4 linked regions of the Saccharomyces cerevisiae S288C genome follow. The protein of the gene in region 4 purifies or fractionates together with the protein of the main gene of each other region. This does not show direct contact. Each region holds a gene or a part of one and is shown on either strand. Other genes may lie near its edges.

Region 1 (6,248 bases), on a different chromosome or scaffold from region 4:
CTAAATCCATGAGAATAATAAGAGAAACTATTATTATAGATAATTTCTAATATTATTCTCATACTTTCTTGTACAATTTTTTCTCTAGGATTTCCAACACTTAAAGGTCTAAATCCTCCAGATGTTTTAGGAATTTCAACTCTTCTAACCGGAGAAAATTTAAACATATTAGTGTTAATATCTTTAGATAATTTATTTAAATATGAAATATTAATCCCATCTAAGGTAATATTATTAGAACCTTTAGATATATTACCTTTCTTACTTTTAATTTTATTATAAGCAATTAATAACATTCTAATATCTGACATTAATTTTAAAATTCTAGTATTAATGGTTTCAAGTTTATTATGATTATTTTCTATTAATTTATTTAACTCGGAAAAATCCGTAGTATTAATCTTTGTTAAATACGCTAAACTGTCTTCCTTCCTTGCATTTAATTTAGATAAAGTACTAAAGTATCTCACTTTATTTAAATTAAATTTGGGTACTATGAAGACTCCGTTATCCCCAGGGTTTCCCCTTTCGGACAATCCCGTATTTCTTAATTTTCCATTTGAACTCGTACAGCCCTCCAAATGTCAACTTTTACTTAAAGCTAATGATTCATTTTTGGTTAACTCGTGTACCTCTTCTTCCAATACATAAGCATGAATCACAATCCCCAAGTGGGAAGGAGTTAATGAGAACCCTAAACATTCTTTACAGGAATTCGTTAACCTAGCCATCGGACAGTTCTTACCTTGCGCTGGCTGTTTTACTCCAGCGCTTTTATGGCATGCTATTGTCCCCGTTGAGTTGGCCCCAACTGGGTAAGCCATATGGTTTACGTATCTAAATACTATGTATGTTACTACTAATAATCAGAACCAAAATGATACGGTAAAGTTTTCATTAATTGAATAAACAGAGATATGTTTATCAATTAACACTTCAATACAGTGATAAATTAAGCGAAACGGCGCACAGAAAATCATTAATACAGCATGACCAACTACTAAAAATGAAATAGCAAATTAACCTATGTTGCCACGTGTTAAAGAGCCTTTCCCAAACCGTACGTGATAGTTTCCCATCATACGGCTTTCCATATTGAGTATCATTAATAATAGATTTTATATACCAGGTCCTATATTTTTAAATTTATTTTTATGTGTTTTAATATGACATTGTTTACATAATGGAATTTGTTTTCTGTTTATGGTAATTATTCTACCTAGAATATAATCTTTAAGTGCTTTTAATATACCTCTATGTAATTGTTTAACATGATGTATTTCTACATCAATAGTTGAATTACAAATACTACAAGGTTTATTAAAATTAGCTTTAGCTGTAGGTAATATATATTTAATTGAATCGATATATTCAAAAGGATCAGTTACTTTAGCTTCTGATATATATATAAATATACCATGATTTTCAATTTTTTTGATATTATCAAAAGTATTTCTTGGAAAATTGGCAATTAATTTATCATTTTCAATAATATTTAAATTATAACCAAATTTTTTAATAGTTTTACTTATTGTTTTTAATCTATATTTACTAGCTAAAGTTAATACACATGAATAATATAATACGTAATAGATTCTTTCTCTTAATCTTTTATAATTAGTAGCTAATTTATAATAATTTAAGATACCTCTACCTAACGCTTTATAATTATTAATAATTGTTCTAGGTTCTTCATATAGTCATCTACCTACTCTTGTAGGCACTCCTATTCTACCATTTTTATTATGCTTACAATATCCATTAGTAGCTAATTTATTGATAATATCTCTAATTGGTGCATTAATAATAGGTCTAGTTGTATTTCTACTTCTAATAAGTTTACCTCTAATTAGTTTAGTAACTGTAGGTATTCTTTTTAAAGGTGTAATTGAAATATTATAACCTAAAAATCTTGCTGGTAGTTCAGTTGCACAAGTAATTAAAGTTTTTTCTTCATTTATAGTTAAACCTAATGAATTTAAAAAATTGTTTAAATCTCTTTTGATTATTTTACAATCATTTTTTGAACCTAATACCCCAATTAAAATATCATCTGCATATCTAACGTATTTTATTCTCTTGAAATTAGGATCATTATAAATAAATAGTGGGCCTTTAGCTCTTTCTTTATGTAATTTTAATCTTGTCGAAAATATTTTAGCTTTTGCAATTATTCTTGATAATTTTTTATATGTAGGATGTTGTTTTTTAACTTTACCTTTATTATATAAATTAATATAATCTTCTAATCAATTATCTACCAATGTTATTACAATATTACATAAGATAGGACTAATTAATGATCCTTGAGGTAAACCTAATATAGGTTTATGATAAGTTCCTTTCTCATCAATATAACCAGCTCTTAATAATTTATATACTAAATCAATAAAACCTTTATCTGAAATATATCTTTTTAATTCTTTAATAATTAAATCATGAGAAATTGTATCAAAACATTTTTTTAAGTCTACTTCAATAAATCAATTACTTCCACCAAATATATTTCTAACTTCTCAAATTGCTGTTTGACAACTTATATTCTTTCTAAAACCATGTGAATGTGTTGATATCTTTTTATCAAAAATTGTATCTAAAATTATTCTTATAACTTCTTGTACAATTTTATCTCTTGGATTACCTACACTTAAAGGTCTTATACCACCTTTAGGTTTAGGAATATTAACTATTCTCATGGGTTTAAATTTGAATTTACCTGTTCCTAATTCATTTGATAATTTATTTAAATATATTATATTTATACCATCTAATGTTTCTAATGTTGTACCTGGAGTTATATTACCAGGTTTACTCTTAATTCTATTATATGCTAATATTAATATATCTACGTTTTTTATAATACTTAATAAATTATTATTTATATTTTCCTCATTTATATTATCTATTACTAATTTCTCAAATTCTAACAAGTCCGAAGTACTTGTATCTTTTGATAACTCAATATTGGTATCCTTCCCTATTTTTAAATTATTATTTACTGAATAGTATCTAACTTGATTTAAAAATCTCATTTTTATTTGAGTATTCGGTACTACTATACCTCTGTCAACTCCAGAGTTTCCTCTTTCAGTTGATCCCTCACTTTTCGTATTTCCTTTTGTGTTATTTAGGTCCTTCATCTTTTTCACACTGCCTGTGCTATCTAAAACAATGAATCATAATCTGATTACCTCAACGTAAAATAATCAAACTTGTTTTACTATATCCAAATGATAAGAGGAAATTGTAATCCTGATAAAGACTTGTAAGAAGTTCGTTAACCTAACCATGTAACACTTAACTCCACCTACACTAATCATAGGTGTTTTATGACATGCTATTGTCCCCGTAAAGTTAGCCCCTACTGAGTTAGTCATATGTTTTAAGTATCTATTGATGATTCATAATACTAATGCTAGACGCATCAACGAAATATACGCACTGAGAGGCGCACCATTAAATAATTGTGAATTACCATGTAAATATTGTGAACCAGGTGCAGCTAATTCTAATCTAATGATTAAAGACATTGCTGTTCCTGCCATACCACTAAAAATAGCTAACATAAAATATAATACTGCAATATCTTTTGCATTTGTTGAATATAATCATCTTTGTACCATTTTTACTTTTTTTTTATATATTAATTTTAATAATATTATTATTATTATATTCATTAAAAAAAAAAATTAATTAAATTTAATTTAATTTAATTTAAATAATTATTGTTATATCTTAAAGGATAATAATATATTATTCTATTTATAAATATAACAATAGTTGAATTTATAATATTAATTATTAATGAATACTATATAATATTTTAGTTATAACTTTAAACAATTCTTTTATATCTTTATAAATAAATATTATTATATTATAAAGTAATAGTATAATTAATTTTTATATATATATTATTTATATAAATGTATCATAATCTATAATATAATATATATATATATATTAAAATCATTTAAATTATATAACATATATATATATTTAATGATATTAATACTCTCTTTCATAATCTATATTATTAATATTATTTATATAAAATATTAATAATATTATTATTATATCTATTACTTATATCAATACTTATTATTTAATATTATATATTACTTTTTACTCATTACAAAATACCAACTAAACCGAACTAATATAAATATATTATTTAATATATTGATTTTTTTATTATTTATTACTTAATAATAAAATAAATTATATAAAAATATTATTATCTATATATTATATATATATTTATATATATATATATTTTTTATATTATATTATATTATATATATATTATTTACATTCTTTATTATATTTATATATATTATTATTCTTTATTATAAATAAGAAATTATTTAATTTATATTTTTATGATAATATTTAAAGATTTATTAATTAAATTATTCATAATATATTAAATAATATTAATCTTATATATATAAATAATTAATATTGATTATTATTATTATTATTATATATATAAATAAATATTGATAAAAATAATATTTAATATAGAGTATTATATTTTATATAATTAATATATATATATATATATATTGTTATATATATTAAAAAAGTAATGTAGTTATATTTTTAGTATTAAATATATAAGTCCCGGTTTCTTACGAAACCGGGACCTCGGAGACGTAATAGGGGGAGGGGGTGGGTGATAAGAACCAAACTATTCAATAAATATAGAGCACACATTAGTTAAATGTATTAATATAATCAATAAATATATTATAATAATATAATATATTATATAATATAAATAAAGGTATTAACGAAATAATAAATTGTATAATATAAATTATAAATAAATAATTAAAATAAATTTAATAAAATAATAAATAAAAACAAGAAGATATCCGGGTCCCATGATAAATTATTATTGAAAATAATAATTGGGACCCCACCACTATAATAAAATATTAATGAATATAATTATAATATATATAAAAATATATATAATAATATTTATATATAATATATATATATATATATAGAAATATAAATTATTATATAAAAATATAATTCTCCTCCGGCGTCCGCCCCGCGGGGCGGGCCGGACTATTTATTATTATATTTTAATAATAAATAAATAAAAATAATAATAATAGTTCCGGGGCCCGGCCACGGGAGCCGGAACCCCGGAAGGAGAAATATAAAAGTATAAATTATATAAAAAGCATATTAATTAATTAATTCTTATAAGAATTACAATTAATTGATATTATATGCCAAATACCAATTAATTAATTAATTAAATTGAAATTAATATATATATAATTATATAAATAATAATATAATAAAAAATAAAATACTTATTATTATTATAAAAATAAGTTATAATATAAAAATATTAATTATTTATTTATTTATTTATTTTATAAAAAAAAATAAATATATATTTATAATATCTTAATATAATTATAATTATTAAAATATTTATATATATTTATATATTTATATTATAATGAATATAAAAACTTTTTATTAATTAGTAAGAAATGAATATTTATATTATAATATAAATATGTATTTATTAATATTAGAACATATCAATAATTATTATTATAATTATTATTAGTCCAAATAAAAATAAAAATAAAATAAGATTTATATAATAATCATAACCTCATATAGAGTGAATACTTTATATATCATATAATAAGATATAATATAATATGATATGATATTATATGATAGGATAATATAGGATAGGTTTTCATTATAATAAATAATATATATATTATTAATATTTAATATATTACAAATAATAATAAAATTTATTAATATGAATAATATTTAATAATATTAATATTTATTATAAATAATATTTAATAATATTAATATTTATTATTTTTTATTTTATTTATTTCTCCTTTCGGGGTTCCGGCTCCCGTGGCCGGGCCCCGGAACTATTAATAATAAATAATATAATAAGTTTATAAATAATAAATATATAGTCTAAACCTCTTTTTTATTTTAATAATAATATTTCATAAATAATTATAATATAAATAATAATTATATTTTAATTTAAAGAAGATATAATATAAAAAGTATTTTAAATAATATATAATTTAAATAATATATATTAATTAATTATATATTATATATATTTTTTTTATATAATTTATATAAGAATAAAAATAATATATATATATATATATATATATTTATAAAAATAATAATTTTAATAATAATAATAATAATATTATTAAAATAAATAT
Region 2 (4,560 bases), on a different chromosome or scaffold from region 4:
ATTATAAATTAATCTTTAATAATATTAAATAAGTTTATTATAATTAATTAATGATAATTTATTTAATGAATACTTCTTTTGGGACTTTATATTTAAATTTATATAAGTGTGAATTCCTTATTATTTATCATTTATATATATATATATATTTTTATTTTTATTTTTATATAATATTTAATAAACATTTTATATTTAATTATATTATTAAAGATATAAATTATAAAAAGGGTAGGTATTTTGATAATAAATAATATATTATTATATTAATAAAGGGTTTAATAATTATGATAATAATAATAAAGAAATTCAATTAATTAAATTTAATTAAATTTTAAACTCCTTTTTTTGGTTCATATTTATAATATATAGAATATAAAATATACTTTATAAAATAGGTATTCATTCCTCTCTCATGGAGGTTCACACCTATTTTTAATAAAATATAATAAAATATATATAAAATATATATAAAATAGGTGCTCACTTCAAAAAATAATTACATAAATAGTATATTTATAATATATTAATATTTCTCCTTTCGGGGTTCCGGCTCCCGTGGCCGGGCCCCGGAACTATATAATATTTAATAATAATCAAATAAAAAATATTTTTTATAAAATAATATTAATAATATATATATATATATGAATTTATATATTAGTTAAATTAATAATATTTATATTATATTATATCATATTAAAAAAGTCCCGCTGGAGGTGAGGCGGTGACCTCGAAGGAATATAAAAATATAAATAATTACATTATTATATTATATTATATTAATATTATATTTTTTTTTTTATAAATATTAAATAAATTTATTAATTATCTTTATAAAAGGTAAATGAAAAAAGAGTATAATGATTATATTATTATTAGTTCCCGCTTCGCGGGAACCCCGTTAGGAGTTTTGAAGGAATAATATATAATAATTATATTTGTAAGAATATTATTATAATAATATAAAATATATATATATAAATTATAATATATTAATTATTGTTAATTATTAATAATATATATATTAATCATTTAGATATATAATTCTATAGCCTTAGACTCCTCATCAGTAGAAGACTACGTATAAAAATAATCAGATAACATCTAAAACATGTAGATAAATAATAGTTGTTTCATATCCAACATGATGTCCAGCTGTTAAATGATAATTTCTCATTCTTCAATAATTAACACCTAACATAGCTGCTAACATTACCATATGTAAGAAATGTAATCCTGTACCAGCATAGAATACTGAACCATAAACACCATCAGAGATAGTGAATGCAGCATTAGTATATTCAATATATTGACAAGTAACAAAAATAACAATTAATCAGAATGTAATTAATAAACCTGATAAGGCTTTATTTCTATTACCTGCGATTAAGGCATGATGACTATAAGTTACAGTAGCACCAGAAGATAATAAGATAATAGTATTTAATAAAGGTAATTCGGTAGGTTGTACAGCTTCAATACCTACGGGTGGTCAACATGCACCTAATAGTACATCAGGACTCATAGCTGAATGGAAATAAGCTCAGAATAAACCAGCAAAGATTAATACTTCAGATAATACAAACATTAAGAAACCTAAATTAATACCTTTTCTTACTGCTATAGTATGATCACCTAAATATGTAGCTTCAGCTACAATATCTCTAAATCATAAAATAGAACTTGTTAATAATACAAATAATGCTAAATATACCATATTCATATTACCAATATAACCATGCATTGTTAATGCTAGTGATAATGCTAATGATAATAATGCAAATGATACTACAATAGGTCATGGTGAAGGCATAACCATATGAAATGGATGTTGTTGATGTCTACTTCTTTCTAAATGTGTCATAAATTTATTGTTATATATATATTATATATATAATATAATTAAATAAATAAATAAAAAAAATATTAATAAAATATTATCCCTTAAACTATATAATAAAATTAAATAATAATATTAATTTAATAAATCTTTTATTTAATAATAATATAAATTATATTAAATATTTATAATAATATATTATTTATAAAATTATAAAATAAATTTATATATAATTCAATATATATATATTAATTTATATATTTAAATTAAATATAATTAAATAAATAATATAATCGAATTAATATCTCTTTCGACCGGATTATTTATTCAATTATTAATAATATAAATAATTAATTTGTATTGAATATAATTTATTTAAATATTTTATTATTATTATTATTATTATTATTAATTTATTAATATTAAAGGAAATATATTTATTATATTATATTATATATATTTTTTATTATTTATATTTATTATTAATATAAATCATTGATAATATCTTCTTTTTATTTATTTATTATTATAATTAAAAAAGAATCTTATATTAATTAATATTATTTATTTTTTTTTTATTTAATAAATAAATATTATTATATTAAGATAGATATAATATTATATCTAGATTTAGGAAATATAGGGTTCGAACCTATAATCTTTCGTGTGTAAAACGAATGCTATACCAATTAAGCTAATCTCCTTTATAAAATATATACTCCACAGATATATATCCAAAACTCTTATTAATTATTATAATTATTATTTTATTTATTTATATATATATAATTATAATAATTCATATAATTATTATAATCTTATAAATATTCCTATTGAAAATTATACTTTATAATTAAATTTATTAATAATTATTTAATTTAATATATAAAATATTTATTTATATATATATTTATATATATATATATATTTTTATAAGTAGTATATTATATTTTATATATAATAATATTTATAATATATATATTATAAATTATATATAATATATTATATATTTATTTAATAATTTTTATATAATTAATATATTATATATTTAATAAATTTTATATAATTAATAAGGTAAATATAATTTAATGGTAAAATGTATGTTTTTAGGTGCATATTATCTAAGTTCAAATCTTAGTATTTACAAAATAAAAAATTAATATAAATTTATTATAATCATTTATAAATTTATTATAATATTATTATTATATTTATTTATTATTAATAATTATTTATTATTTATTATATAATATTTTTATAATTATATATTAAATATATATAAATTTTATTATAATAAAACTCCTTCTTAAATAGGGGTTCGGTTCCCATGGGGTCCCTCACTCCTTACGGGGTTCCCGCAAAGCGGGAACTAATAATAATATATATTTTTATATATATATTAATATATATATATATTTATAACTCCTTTATTGATATTTATTCTTATTTAGAATATTTTTAATTAAATAATATAATTAAATGAATACCAAACTTATATTATATTTATATTTATATTTATATTTCTCCTACCGGGGTTCCGGCTCCCGTGGCCGGGCCCCGGAACTAAATATATAAACTTTTTTTTATAATATTATATTTATTAAAATATTAATAAATAAATAAATAAGAGATATAATATATATTTTCTTTGTATTAAATATATTATATATATATATATTAATTATTATAATATATTTATTATAAATTAATTATTAATTAATATATTATTATTATTGCCCTTAATGAGAATCGAACTACATGTAAATAAATCTTCAATTTATCGCTTTACCACTAAGCTATAAAAGCTATATATAATATAATACTTATTATTACTTATAATATAATATATATATATATTTATATAATAATACATAATATATATATATATATAAATAAAACATAATATATAATATATATTTTTATATTATTAATTAATTAATTTATTACTTATCTTATTATATATATATATAAACCTTTTATAATATATTAATATATATAAAACTTTAATATTATTAATTATTATATTTATATTTATATTTATATATATAATAAATATATATATATATTTATATAAATTATATAATAAATAATAATTATATTTTATTTATAATTAAAAATAATAATTATATAATATATTACTCCTTCGGGGTCCGCCCCGCGGGGGCGGGCCGGACTATATTATATATAAAATAATAAAAAGTCTATTTATAATACTAATATAATATTATATTAATATTATTTATTAAAAAGTAATTATAATAATATTATTATTTATTTAATTTATTTATTTATTTATTTATTTATTTATTATTATTATTAAATAATATATTATATTTATATTAATTATTTAAGATATAATATTAAGTTCTGGGGGACGGCCCCCCGTATCCGTATCCGTATCCGTATTCGTATCCGTATCCGTATCCGTATGGGGGATCGGAACCCCAAAGAGGAGTGAATACCTATTACATTATATTTATTTTATATTATATTATATTTATTTTATATTATATTATATTATAAATATAAATTATAAAAGGAGTAAATATAATTCTTATAATTTAATTATATTATAATTTTATTTTATTTTATTAATATTTCTCCTTTCGGGGTTCCGGCTCCCGTGGCCGGGCCCCGGAACTATTAATATAAAAATATATAATATTTATAAAAAAATTATACATTAATTATTCTTATTATTATTATTTATTTAATTATTA
Region 3 (4,507 bases), on a different chromosome or scaffold from region 4:
TCCAACATTAATAAATTTAGTATTATTATTATTTATAGAATTTAAACGTTGAATATCACTATTTATACGATATGGTAATTTATAATTATAGATAAGATTTATATTTAATACATCATCAATAATATTTTTAGTTCCGGGGCCCGGCCACGGGAGCCGGAACCCCGAAAGGAGAAATATTATAATTAGAATAATATCTTTTTTTATTAATATTATTATTAATTAATTTTAATAAATTAGAACCTTTAAGTGTATTATGTAAACCTTTTATATAGATTTCTATAAGTGTTTTTCATAATTGGAAATCAATTTCTTTACGACTATATCATTTTAATGAATATAATTTAGGTAAAATAACATAATATAAAAAATCTATTCTATTAAATTCTAATTTAATAACTCCATTTTTATCAGGTTTAGTTAATTTAATAGATGAATCTCAATCTTTTAATAATTTATTTTTAATTAATAATGGTGTATTATCAATTGGTTTTCAATTATTTAATACATAAGATTTAATAGCTTTTAATGTATTAATACTACGTTTATGTTGTGAAACATTAAAACCACAAATATTACGTTTTGGAGATAGATCAAATGAACCTTCAGCTTCAATAAAACCTAAAATTCAATAATCATTTATTTTATCATATGGAATTTTTAAATTAGGTATAACTTCATAATTATTAATTGTATTTTTAATATTTAATAAATCTTTATTATTATAAGATATACCATTTAAATTATTAATTATAGCTATTTTTCATTTATAATAACTATAATATTTAATTGTTAAACAAGGATACTTATCAAAAATAGTTACAATATTAGAATATAACCATTTCTTTTGTGAATTTACTAATATAATTGTTTTAAGTAGTTCTTCAAAATTAGAAGGTATATTTAATATATTTCTAATCTTTTCTAAACATGCTTTATCATCAATATGTATTCTAAAACCATAAAAAAATCTTAAATATTTTTTATCATTTAATTTAATATAAAAACTACCATCTCCATCTGTAAATCCTACTAATCATTTATAAAAATTATCTATTTCTAAATTATTCTTATTATTATTTTTATTATCTTTTTGAACAATAATTAATTTATTATTTAAAGAAGTATGATAACCTCTTTTAATAATATTTATATTTTTAATATAAGGTGATTGAATAGAATATAAATCTATATCTTTATTATATTTAAGAATATTATTATAATTATTATTATTATTATTATTTTTAATAATTAAAAATATTAATAATAAGTAAATATTAATTATTGTTCATTTAATCATTCCAAAAATTTAGGTAATGATACTGCTTCGATCTTAATTGGCATATTTGCATGACCTGTCCCACACAACTCAGAACATGCTCCATAGAAGACACCTTCTCTTTGAATTAAAGCAGAAACTTGATTTAATCTACCAGGAGTAGCATCAACTTTAATACCTAAACTTGGAATAGCAAAATCATGAATAACATCAGCAGCTGTTACAACGAATCTAATATGTGTATCTACAGGTACAACTATAGAAGTATCAGTATCTAATAATCTTAATTGACCTTCTTCTAATAATTCATCAGGAATAACATATGATTCAAATTCAACAGTTTCACCACTATCATTAATAAAATCTGAATATTCATATTTTCAATATCATTGATATCCAATAGCTTTAATAGTTATAGCTGGTGAAATAACTTCATCACATAAATATAATAAAATAAATGAAGGAAAAGCAATAATTAATAAAATTACAGCTGGAAAAATTGTTCAAATAACTTCAATAGTTTGTCCATGTTTAATATATTTATATGCAATAGGATTTTTTGAATATGTTATAACAATTGTATATAACATTCAAGATACTAAACCTAAAATAACTAATAAATAAAACATAATATTATCATGTAATTCTAAAATACCTTCTTGATTTGGTGTTGCTGAATCCTGAAAATAACATGCATAAGGTGTTGGTACATCATTCATAATGAATGTTGTTAATTGTAATCTTAATAAATCTAACATTTTAATAAATCTTAACCTTTAGACTCTTTTGTCTATTTATAATATGTTAATACTACTTTTAATTAAAATTTATTTATAATTTATTATTATATATTATAAATTAAAATAAAAAATATTATATTATATTATCAACCCCACCTTTTTTTATTAAAAATAATTAAAATTATATATTATTTTTATAAATAATATATATAATATTATTAATCATATAAATATATATTTTATTAAAAAAAAAAAAATACTAAAACTCCTTCGGTCCTCCTCCCGTTAGGGAGGGGTCCCTCACTCCTTACGGGATTCCCGCTTCCCAAAAACTAATAATATTCATATCATATATATTAATATTTATTAAAATATATAATATTTAGATTATATATAATATATATAATTTTTATTATTATAATATATTAGTGATTACCTTATTTATAAAGGTATGAAGCAAGGAGTTATTATTTATTATTATTATTATTATTATTATTATTAATATAATATATATATAATATATTATTAATTTTTATTTATACTCCTTCGGGGTCCCCGCCGGGGCGGGGACTTATATTTATATTATTAATATAATATATATTTAAAAATAAAATAGTCCGCCCCGCGGAGGGGGGCGGGACCCCGAAGGAGTCCGCCCCCCTTTTTATTTTATTTTATTTAATTTTAAAGAAGAAGAATTATTTATATTTATTTATTTATTTATCTCCTTCGGGGTTCCGGCTCCCGTGGCCGGCCCCCGGAACTGTAATAATATATTAATTTAATTAATATTTTTTATAGATAAATATACATTATATGTTTTTATTAATTAATTATTTATTTATTTATTTATAATATATATTTAAATATTATATTATATATATATATTTAAAAGATAAATTATATTTATAATTATTTAATGAACATCTATTTAATAATAATAAAATAGTCCGGCCCGCCCCCGCGGGGCGGACCCCGAAGGAGTCCGGCCGAAGGAGATGTGAATCCTGCTAGGAGGAGTAATTATTTATTAATATTATTTTAATATATATAAATATTATAATCATTATTACTTGTAGAAGGAATTGAACCTTACATTATTTATTTATGAGACAAATGTTTTAACCAATTAAACTATACAAGCTCCTTAATTATAATTATTATTATAATTAATACAATATTTACTCTTTATTATCAATATTTATACCTTATTTTATAAATATAAATAAAAGATATTAATTATTAAAATATTAATAAATATATTCTTTAATAATTTATAATTATAATATAATAATTATAATAATAATAATTTTTAATAAAAAATAAAATAATTATAAAATTATAATCTTATTATATAAAATATATAATATATTTATAATTATTAATAAAAAAGATAATTATATAATTAAAATTAATATATATATATATATATATATAAAGGTATTATTAATTAATTAAAAATATTAATATATTTGTTAATTAAATAAATAAATAAATATAAATATTATCTAATTATAAATTTATTCTTAGTAATTAATATATATATAATATTATATAATATAATATATATAATATAGGTGTTAGTTTAATAATATTCTTTATTATATATAAATATAAATAAGATATCTTATACTATATATTATAATAAATTATAAATAATTAAACATAATAAATATAATTTATATATACATATTTATTTTTTATTAATTTATAACATATTAATAAAAATAATAAATATATAATTTCTTTAGAATACTTTTTATTCTCCTTCCGGAATTAATAAAATAAAATAATATAATATAATATAAAATATAGATACTTATTTAATTTATTAATTAATATATATATAAATATATTATTATATATAATATAAATAAATATATAATATAATATAATATTAATAATTATTATTATATACCTTTTTATAAATAATTTAAATATTTATAAAAATATTTTAATAATATTTATAATATAAAATTTATCATTTTATAAAAATTATATATATATATATAATATATAAAATAGTTTCTTCTTACATAAAATATAATAAAAATTATAAAATATATTAAATTATTAATAATTATATATTTAATGAATAATCTTAAATTAATAAATATCAATAAATATATCAATAAATATAATATAATATAATATAATAAAATTATTTATTATTATTTATTTATTATTATTATTAATACATACTTTTTATATTATTTTCTTTAATATATATATATATATGATATATAAATTAAAATATATATATATTATTATCGTCCTTAATAGGAATTGAACCCATCTATTCTCATTAACAGTGAGATGCTTTAACCGATAAGCTATAAGGACATATTATATAAAAGAATAAATATATATTAATTAAATAAATAAAAACCCTTATTTTATATATTTTATTAGTTCCGGAAGGAGAATAAATAAATAAATATATAAATATATAGAAATATAACTCTATAATTAAATTTATTAAATACAGATA
Region 4 (3,605 bases):
GTCTAAGGAGGAGCTATTTAACAGTGCACAATATAACACAGCATATATACACACACACACATAAAATAACCGCAAAAATGGAGGACAGTAGCAATACAATCATACCCTCACCCACTGACGTGGGGGCGCTAGCAAACAGAATCAACTTTCAAACCAGAGATGCCCACAATAAAATCAATACCTTCATGGGCATAAAGATGGCCATCGCCATGAGACATGGCTTTATATACAGACAGGGTATTCTGGCGTACTATTATGTGTTCGATGCCATCGAGCAAGAGATAGATCGCCTACTGAATGACCCCGTAACGGAGGAGGAGCTGCAAACTTCGACCATTCTGAAGCAGTTTTGGCTCGAAGATTTTAGAAGATCTACGCAGATCTATAAGGACCTGAAGCTGCTATACTCAAACACGTTTAAAAGCACAGAATCATTAAACGAATTCCTGGCTACGTTCCAGAAGCCACCGCTACTACAGCAGTTTATCAATAACATCCACGAAAACATACACAAGGAGCCATGCACCATTCTTTCTTACTGTCACGTTCTGTACTTGGCGCTTTTCGCCGGCGGCAAGCTAATACGATCGAATTTGTACAGAAGACTGGGGCTCTTCCCCAACTTCGAGAAGCTATCACAGAAGGAACTGGTCAAAAAGGGCACAAACTTCTTCACCTTCAGCGATCTGGGTCCCACTGAAGAAACACGCTTGAAATGGGAATACAAGAAGAACTATGAGCTGGCCACCAGGACGGAATTGACCGAAGCACAAAAGTTGCAGATCATTAGCGTCGCAGAAGGCATTTTTGATTGGAACTTCAACATCGTTGCAGAAATTGGAGAGTTGAATCGTCGCGAGTTAATGGGCAAGTTCAGCTTCAAGTGTATTACGTACTTGTACGAAGAATGGATGTTCAACAAGGATTCTGCTACTAGAAGAGCACTCCACACGGTCATGCTGCTGGTGCTTTCTATTATCGCGATCTGGGTTCTTTACTTCTTGGTAAAGAGTTTTCTTAGCATAGTATAACGTATAAAAAAAAAAGTCTAAATACAAACATAATATATACATGAAATAATATCAAAATATGAAGAATAGGGAAGGAAAAACAGCAGAGAAAAACATGTGAGAGGTTTTTACAGCCCTATTATCTACCCTGAGATAGCTTTCTTCTTTCTGCCTTCTCCCTCTTTCTTCTTTTCCGCAGTTTGTGTTTCTTCATCTTTTTTTTCCTCTTTCTCATCACTGAATCGAGTTGCATCACTATATTTGAACCGTTTAATGGCTCACTGACTGTGCCAGTGATCCTTGTTGCCGTAGCCGTCATCATCATCATTGTACTCAGCATGCCCTCTTGCATGGGAGGCATTGTAGTGTTAATTGCTGTTTGAAAGGTTCTGTTAAAGTAGGACCCGCAACTTGGTTTCTTAACCACCGTCCTAGTAATGCCCAGCCACCCAGGTCGCAATGCCCTTCCTAGCATGTTTATCTCGTTCTGGTGTCGTGTGTGCTCGTCTTGGCTGGAACTCAACCGCCTTTCGCTCTTGATATTATATTTGGCATTCACTTAAGTGTGCAGTATGGGGAAAGGGCTCTTTTTATCATGCGCTACGAAAAAGCGGCTCGAAGAAAATAATCCAAAGGAGTCTGACAAGAGACAATAGTAGATATTTGGTCAACTACTAAGGGCGGGCCTTTGGTTGTAGTTTTTTTACACTTTATAAGCGCAGAACACTGTAGATATTGCGAAGGTGGACTTAAAGTAGTTTGGCAAACTTGTACTTCCAGAACTATGACCGTGCTATATGCTCCTTCGGGTGCTACTCAGCTATATTTCCATCTGCTAAGGAAGTCGCCACACAACAGGCTAGTTGTCTCTCACCAAACACGTCGTCACCTCATGGGGTTCGTTAGGAACGCCCTTGGATTGGATCCTCCTCCCTCTCCAGAAGATCCTACTCCGGAGAACAGATTCCATCCATGGGATCAGTCTCCCTCAGTGGACTTGCGTGAAAGGGCCGCCAAGATTAGAACGCTAGCACACTGCCCTGTTACCGGCAAAGATATTAACTACACTTGTCCTCTGTCAGGAATTCCGACTCATCACTCACGAGAGGCTTGGGAGATGGATAAAGCATATCACGATTCTAAAAAATATGAAATCCTGAAAAAAGTTAATATTTATGAGCATGACTTAAGAAGCGGTAGACCCTTCCCGGAGTTTGATTTTCCCCAACAGCAAGGCTACGACAAGGCCGTTAACCTAACAAACTGGGATTTGTTTTTCTACACAAGATCATTCTATTCCATGGATACAGAGTTCCAATTAGCCGCAGTCACAAAGATGCTAAGCTATCCAATTACGATTGGGTCTTTGCTGCACAAATTTTCCCCGTATTCATTGAACCCAAAGGGGCCTATCACCTTAGAAGGTCTAAAATCTCTGGCTGCTCTCAGGTATACTTTATATCCGTTGGAGAATAGATCTTTACCAACCACAACTAAGAACCGTGCTATGAGAATTTTCATCCTAGGTGCACGTGCTGAAGCTCAATTGCCGGGCCACGTTTGGAAACAGCTCCAGTTTCTTTTCCCAGAGCAGAGTTTCGAAATACATTTCATTGGACCCGAATGCCTGTATAAAAGGGATAAACAGGAGTACGTCAAGTCTACTACGCCGGTAGTACAAAGAGTAGACGAGACTCTGAAATTCATTTATCGTACAAACTTTTTCGAAGTATTCCATGAGGCTCAAGATTTTTTCCCATACGATCCATACATGGATGTCTTTTTTACTTTCCATCCAGGCTACGCATCTCCAGAATCTCACGGTTCATGGATGGGTGAAACTATGAAGGCATTACTGGAAACAAAATGTGCTATCTTCACAACGGGTTTCAATAAGAAAGACCTAACGGACGACATAAATCTTGTCAAATCCAAATACGGTAAGGAAATGGATGTCTTAATGGAGCCCGTCAGAAACGTATTTGGAAGTACGAAGTGGGAATTAAATGACATGAATCCTCAAGAAGTTTATCAATTTAACATGTATATTGCCGGGTTCAGAGGTAAAAGGTACCATACAATCAAGAGACAATGATTATCGGGAGGCCATGCCCAACTTTCATCTTATAAATATATGCGTTTTCTACCGTTATTATAATTTTTTTCTTATGTATGATATCTCAATATCTGTAAATACAAAAATACTAACCCCACCCCCTTCGTAATGGTTGACCTAATAGTCCATTAACTAATCCATTCACCTATACAGTAGTATACTGACTACAGTTGCCATGACATATCCTTTCCTTTTCGGACTATATTAGGCGGAAGAAAAATAGCAATAACAATAGTAAGAAACAATAATACGGGGTTTTTTTTTTTTTGGGCCTACATAAGGTACTTCACCCCAATTTGGAAAGAGATAACAGAGTCTTTACCACATTATAAATCATGCTTTGTCGCAATACTGCCAGAACGGGCTGTAAATTCTTTCGTTTATATCATTCGAACCCTATCGAACATGTTAAACCAATTCATATTAAACCTTTAACTTATGGAAAAGAATCACCCCAGTATAAAGTATTGTCACTAGCT

What was found.
Region 1: the proteins of MSS51 (region 4) and COX1 purify together in Saccharomyces cerevisiae (affinity purification with western blotting; 10 studies listed by BioGRID, with this or other methods). This does not show direct contact.
Region 2: the proteins of MSS51 (region 4) and COX3 purify together in Saccharomyces cerevisiae (affinity purification with western blotting; 3 studies listed by BioGRID, with this or other methods). This does not show direct contact.
Region 3: the proteins of MSS51 (region 4) and COX2 purify together in Saccharomyces cerevisiae (affinity purification with western blotting; 4 studies listed by BioGRID, with this or other methods). This does not show direct contact.

Annotation. Positions count from the first base shown.
Region 1 is NC_001224.1:11,193-17,440, reverse strand, and holds the start of COX1 (cytochrome c oxidase subunit 1), read right to left. Parts: upstream 3,624-6,248; coding exon 3,455-3,623; coding exon of another isoform or gene 1,119-3,454; intron 1,007-1,118; coding exon 971-1,006; coding exon of another isoform or gene 1-970. Other genes in the region: intron-encoded reverse transcriptase aI1, read right to left, coding at 1,119-3,623; intron-encoded DNA endonuclease aI3, read right to left, coding at 971-1,006, 3,455-3,623; intron-encoded DNA endonuclease aI4, read right to left, coding at 971-1,006, 3,455-3,623; AI5_ALPHA (intron-encoded DNA endonuclease aI5 alpha), read right to left, coding at 971-1,006, 3,455-3,623; intron-encoded reverse transcriptase aI2, read right to left, coding at 1-1,006, 3,455-3,623. UniProt on the Saccharomyces cerevisiae protein: Component of the cytochrome c oxidase, the last enzyme in the mitochondrial electron transport chain which drives oxidative phosphorylation.
Region 2 is NC_001224.1:76,517-81,076, reverse strand, and holds COX3 (cytochrome c oxidase subunit 3), read right to left. Parts: upstream 1,865-4,560; coding exon 1,055-1,864; downstream 1-1,054. UniProt on the Saccharomyces cerevisiae protein: Component of the cytochrome c oxidase, the last enzyme in the mitochondrial electron transport chain which drives oxidative phosphorylation.
Region 3 is NC_001224.1:71,285-75,791, reverse strand, and holds COX2 (cytochrome c oxidase subunit 2), read right to left. Parts: upstream 2,035-4,507; coding exon 1,279-2,034; downstream 1-1,278. Other genes in the region: Q0255 (maturase-like protein), read right to left, coding at 1-129, 170-1,297. UniProt on the Saccharomyces cerevisiae protein: Component of the cytochrome c oxidase, the last enzyme in the mitochondrial electron transport chain which drives oxidative phosphorylation.
Region 4 is NC_001144.5:550,150-553,754, reverse strand, and holds MSS51 (Mss51p), read left to right. Parts: upstream 1-1,794; coding exon 1,795-3,105; downstream 3,106-3,605. Other genes in the region: HMX1 (Hmx1p), read left to right, coding at 78-1,031; mitochondrial 37S ribosomal protein mS38 QRI5, read right to left, coding at 1,150-1,485; ubiquinone biosynthesis protein COQ9, read left to right, coding at 3,462-3,605. UniProt on the Saccharomyces cerevisiae protein: Has a dual role in the assembly of cytochrome oxidase subunit 1 (COX1). It has a regulative function on COX1 synthesis, acting as a translational activator specific for the COX1 mRNA, and it also binds to newly synthesized COX1 protein.